Saccharomyces cerevisiae S288C: one gene and its partner. Each later gene encodes a partner of the first gene's protein in a complex. Each region holds a gene or a part of one and is shown on either strand. Other genes may lie near its edges.

Region 1 (3,380 bases):
CTGGATTGTTAGGTTGAACTAACGTATAAAATTAGGGGATAAAATGAAGAAAAGAAGATAAACTAATCAAAGAGGCAAAAAAAAAGGTCCTTTGAATCAAACTCTACTATATTAGTTATATTTTGAAGATTTGGTGTGAACTCTTCACATGAGAAGGGAATAAAAGGGAACACAGTGGAAAGAATCTGTATTTTCATATGCCTACTTATAAATTCACATGTGTCGGAGATCCACGTTATCTAACATTTGAGGTTTTGCCGTTTCTGGCATCGCCGTTCATTTTCACAGTTTTGTGTGGAAAACTTCGCGAATAATGAATGCGGCATGAGAAAAGTGTGGCAATTGACTGTCTTGACCAATTTAAACCAAGGCAAAAATATATATTTAACAAGGCAAACATTTAATGTTGGAAGTTTAGTGCCGCTTTTAGTGATAAGAGGTACAGATGCAAGAACCATCTAATTAGGTGTGGTTTTCTGATACGCTATGGCTCTGATTACTTAGATTATATATTCTTTTCTAAAGTTTTCCACCATAAGTTGCTGGTCACTTGGTAAACTTTGGATCTGGGCAGGTGTCAAAGTAAGAACTTGTTTGATCATATCTTGTTGGTTTTCAGGTAGTAATTGCAGTTTCGCCATATTAATGGTGCCGCTGTCATTCGCTTTATTCGCGTTAGAGGGTCCTTCTGTAGAACTTATATTTTGTTGCTGGACCTGGCCGAGTTGATTTGCCAACACAGGCTGTCCCATGGAGGGGCCTTGAGCTGGAGGCATGAAAGGGCCCGGTGGCGCAAAACCGAACGGTTGTTGTTGCAGAGGTAAAGGGATAAATGGTGGTGTCGACATAGGCATTGGCATAGCTACGTTCAGTGGCATATTGTTAGGATTGTTGCTGACTTCATTAGAAGGTACATGCAACGGAGTGTTATTTCTAATTACGCTTACGGGGGTGTTCGAATTACTTGTGTTATTACTCGAAAGCAAAGATGGGGCCTCGCCAACTTGGGATTTCAACACTTTAGTCACCACGCTGTAGTCTATAAATCCCATTTCTAGTAGGGCTTGGGTCACTGATATTGTGATATCACTGTTAGTATCTAAGAAAGATTCTAATTGCGATTTTTGGATGTTTTCTTGGTTTGATAATATTTTCAAATTTGATATAATTTCAATAAGTTGCAACGGCGGAATTTTACTTAAATTTTGTGAAATTTTGTCTGGTGCAATAATCGAGCCATCTTGGAAACTTGGCAAGTGTTTAGATGCTTTACTTAGTATGTCGGGGAATTGAATGTTTGTGTTATTTGATACAGAGTTTGTGTTATTTGCAGCCTGTGGTGGCGGTGGTCGCCTAGGAATGGGGACTTCTGTCACCATTTCGAAAGGTAGCTCCAAACCCGCCTCGAAGGGGTACGAATCTCTATTAAGTTGTAATACCTGCTTTTGAGAATTTTTATTTGCTGTTTCTCTAAGATGGTCCTTATAATTTGGTGGGATTATTTGCTCTATCTTTACGGGAAAGTTTTCAATTCTATTTAAAATTTCCCAAGCGCGTTTACAATCTTTACTAGTCAAATAATCGAACAGTACACCGGTTAGTTTACCAGTTCTCGGGTCATTCTTAGCTTTTATATCTATAACTGGACCAGAACCGGCCACGACCGAAGTAATTATATCTTGGTTCCATTCTGGAGGTAAGTTTGTGATTTGTAATGTAGAGGATAAATTCTCCGGTGTCAAGAAATGACGGCCTGTTCTTCTTCTGGGATCTGTCATCAATTTTTTTCCTTCGTTCTTCGTTCTTCGTCTTCTCCAGTTGTGAGTTTTCTAAATATACCTATATATAAAATAATAAAATCTAATCAATGCAACGTGTTTGACAGTGACGTTTACAGATAGGACGACCGGATGAGCGACTGAAAAAGGTGCTATTATGAATGCACGGTTTCGCAAGACCTCAAACAATCGTACTAGTATTTCTGAAATTCTGCTTTACTGCCCGACCTTTCCAACATGTCGCTGTTTTTTTGTTTTTCTTCAGAGTCGGGTAAGAGCAATAAAGTGAAAAGTTAACAGATTCAAACACTGATGTGATGCATGCATGATAAGGAATTTGTAAAAATAATAGAACAATGCTGCTTCGTATAGGCGCTATTTAATTAAGTAGTTATATAAAGAGAACGGTGCAATTGAATAGGAAAGGAATGACGGATTTTGCTTCTATGTTTGCTTTTATTTGAAGCGTGGGTTCTTATTTATGCTAAGTAGCTCAGTAAATCCATCTTAGTAACGATATGGATTGGTTTCAAGCCATCAGTGATAACGGCAGATGAGTTTTTTTCAAAGAAACGATTCAAGTCAGATAGCTTTGAGTTTTCATCGAATTTAATAAACTTCTTCTTACCGGATTTATTTTCGTTGTAAGAGGAAACATCATTGAAATTGTTTAATTTCTTGAAGTCCAAGTATTTACCCTTTATAGTGTTGTCGTTGTTTGAATTATTGATTGATAGTTTTCTTAGAAGCTCAGAGAGAGTAACTAAACCAGACAACTTGCCGTCTTCAGTCAACACAGGCAATTGGTCAAAGCCATTGTCTTTTAATATCTTGATAACATCAGTGACCTTAGCGGTTTCCTTAACGGAAACAACCGGTTTCAAGTGAAGATCCTTTACAGTAGCGTTACCAAACACATCAGCGTATTTTGTCGTCGAAGCCTCCAGCTTTGAAGAGTCAAAACGGGCCAACACGTCATCATCCCACAAATTGTTCTTTTTCAACCATTCGTCATCGACGAATTTGGTTAGGTACGACCTGATGGAATCTGGGAATATGGCAACAATGACATCATCTTCAGTCAGTTCAGGGTGGTCTTCACAGTATTTCACAACCGCAGTGAAGGCAGAACCGGAAGAACCACCCACCAAGACACCTTCGTTAGAAATCAATTGTCTGGCGTATTTGAAAGAAGGCTTGTCGTCTGTCTTATACCAAACATCAATTAATTTTCTGTCCAAAACCTGAGGAACAAAATCATAACCAATACCCTCAACTTTGTAGTCAGTGATATCAGTCTTATTCAAGTTTTCAGGTTGGGCTAAAATTGAACCGAATGGGTCAGCACCAACGATTTGGATCTTATCATTCTGTTCTTTCAAGTACTTGGAAATACCGCTAATAGTCCCACCAGTACCAGCACCAGCAACAACAGCGCGTAGATTATCAAATAAATTCAAGTCTTCTAGCTGTCTTTGGATTTCGCGACCAGTACCAAAGTAATGAGCTTCTGGGTTCATCATATTGTTATATTGGTCAAGTATAACAGCACCAGGAATCTCTTTTTCCAACTTCTTAGCAACACCAATATGTGATTCTGGA
Region 2 (2,733 bases), on another chromosome or scaffold:
TTGAAGATGTGCTCTTTTGAGCAGTCTCAACTTTGCTCGTTCCCGTTATGGGAAAAATTTTGGAAGGTCTTGGTAGGAACGGGTGGATCTTATAATTTTTGATTTATTTTCAGAAATAAATGGAACATTTTTCTATTTATTTCTTTCTTAAAGTACTGAAACTTTTAAAGTTTCATGCTTCTATTTTCTTCATTTCAGTCCTATATCTGGTGATGTGTTTTGGAATGAAACCTGTTATACGCTACATTGAGACAAGACATTGTCCAGCTTACTAAAAATACAGTGTGTTGTATATCAAGCTTCTTGATAAAAAAATAGCTATGTGGACAACAAGCAAATAATGTGCTTAAGAGAGCCGCAACAAGAAACGTAATATTATATAATGAATATAACTAGGAAGCTATCGAAGACTTGTGAAAGTATTGAAATTTCACGGATAATGTAGGATTCATGAGGGCCGCTTAATGCTTATGCTTTTCTACAGTAATTGACCGTTTTGTTTAGTAATATGAAGGAGCGTATAATGACGGTAGTTGAGAATGTGAGCTTTGCCACTCAGTTAAAATGTCCATTATACAATCTTCAAAGGGAATGTCATCTTTTTCACATTGTTCTATTTTATCATTGAGCATATCAGCTAATTCCAATATAGCTTTGCTACCAATTTTAGCATTTTCATCATCATCTTTAATGTCAACATTAATTACATGCACTATTTTGTTTAATTTCCCACCTCTATTCATCAAATCTTCACAAACGGCATCAAAACATCTCTCTTCACAAGTGAAAACGAAGTCGAAGACTTTTGTACTTTCTTGCCATTTTTCAGGTGCTTTTTTGAGTCTTCTATTACGATCCAGCATTTGCAATAAACCGTTCGACTTGTAACGGTCTGCTGATTGTGATAAAAGATCATTATATATATCATTATAGGGTGTACCAAATGAGTACACATTAGGCTTATCTATCGATAGACCAGGCAGTCTCACAGCTGAACCTGTTCCGTAAGAGCTAACATTATAGCCTGCTTCTTGCAGGACTTTATGCGATTCCATTGAACGATTGTTGTTTGATGCACAAACTGTGCAAAACTTCAAGTTTGAATTGCGATGACTAGGCATTTTGGACTTCGACACTAGTTTATACCACCGTTGTCTTAATCTTCTTACAGGTGGTCTTTAATTCGTGCCGACTGGCCTTTTTCTTTATTATCTTTCGTTTTTTAAGTTCTTTCCACTGCCGCAGACGAAAAATACGTAAAGGATGATCAAACGAATAAGAACAAAAGAACTGGATACCTCAGTTTTAGGGAATATATTAAAACAAGTATATATGCTTATGAACTAGTGAATTCCTTACACTAGCATTTTTCATCAATAGGACTGTGAATACCTACCGTTTCCTTCTCTACAAGGACGCCTTCTACTTCATAATCTGTTAAATTCGCATTAACAGTGTGTGTGTTTCCCATAACAACAATCTTCTGTTTCTTGCAATGAATATCTTGAAAACAATCATATTCGTCTACATCTTCTGTATTTGTTGTGTGTGGGAATATTGCACCAATATCTACGTAGTCTCCCTCTAGTACTCCGAGATTTTCATTATTGCTTGCATCTTTCTTCATTGAGTTAGAACTTACACTTTCCACGTCATCCATACTACAACTCACATCAAAGTCATCCATTCTCTTAGCAAGAACATTGATAATAGCAGATTCTGCAACTTCTAGCTTCCATTGTTGCCAGTCTTTTTCGCCCTTAATCAAAATACCAATGAGCATCGAGGGATCCATTTCCGATAGTTGCAATTTACCAAATTTACTGGTATGGCACGACTCTACAAATGAATCTTCTACTGCCGGTTGAGGAATATGAGGATCGAAATGTAAAAATTCATTTCCTTGATAACCAAAAAAATACAACGATGAAGACGGCCTACCGCCGGCAATGCCTACTGACTGTGTTGAACTTAAGATACCACATATACTTTCTCTATAGCTCTCATTTACCGCATTAATCCCGAGCTTCACGCCCAACAAGAACAATATTCTACTATTTGGATTCTCAGCAAATACTTTTTCAACTTCATTTTCATAGATATCGCCGGATGAAACAGATACTATACAATCATCGATGCCACATTCGGGGAAGCCATATATTAAAGATTGTATACTCCTTGCCGTAGCTGCGGGACCAAACCATTCACCTGGTCTTTTATCAGAGAGTTCTGTACCTGCAGAAACAAAGTTATGTAACGAAAATGGAGCCTCAGGCGTGTCATTAAACCAATTTACAAATTTTGATTCTCTTTCCAGACTTTCGTTACCATTTACCCTGAAATCTCTGCCCAAATGAAGGATTTGTAAGGCATTCCCCAACAAACTTTGTCCTGTCCTTATCATACACCCCCACCCAATATCAGTGTTAAAGCAATCAGGATTTGCTATATAGTCCTCTATTGTACTGATCGGATTTGTACGTACTAATAAATTTAGACTTAAAGGTGAAGGCCCATCTGGCGCCCTTGCTATAGGAACAAATCTTGTCCGATATGTAAAGTTGACCCTTGATTGTACATCCAAAAGAAATTCCTTTGTGTAAGAAGAAATTTCCCTACCAAAAAGAGAGCTTAAAAACCCGTCACTAACCGCTTCACCGCGATATCGACAGTCTTGTTCACATTGTTCAGCGCCAGATTCTTCGTCTCGCTCAGGATATACTTCCCCTAATA

Evidence for each region. Proteins that work in one complex are often made in the same cells at the same time.
Region 2: PTI1 (region 1) and SSU72 share a complex: the UniProt entries of both Saccharomyces cerevisiae proteins name them as parts of the APT complex.

What each region holds. Positions count from the first base shown.
Region 1 is NC_001139.9:798,944-802,323, reverse strand, and holds PTI1 (cleavage polyadenylation factor subunit PTI1), read right to left. Parts: upstream 1,779-3,380; coding exon 501-1,778; downstream 1-500. Other genes in the region: cystathionine beta-synthase CYS4, read right to left, coding at 2,258-3,380. UniProt on the Saccharomyces cerevisiae protein: Component of the cleavage and polyadenylation factor (CPF) complex, which plays a key role in polyadenylation-dependent pre-mRNA 3'-end formation and cooperates with cleavage factors including the CFIA complex and NAB4/CFIB.
Region 2 is NC_001146.8:227,482-230,214, reverse strand, and holds SSU72 (RNA polymerase II subunit A C-terminal domain phosphatase), read right to left. Parts: upstream 1,122-2,733; coding exon 501-1,121; downstream 1-500. Other genes in the region: cysteine protease ATG4, read right to left, coding at 1,361-2,733. UniProt on the Saccharomyces cerevisiae protein: Component of the cleavage and polyadenylation factor (CPF) complex, which plays a key role in polyadenylation-dependent pre-mRNA 3'-end formation and cooperates with cleavage factors including the CFIA complex and NAB4/CFIB.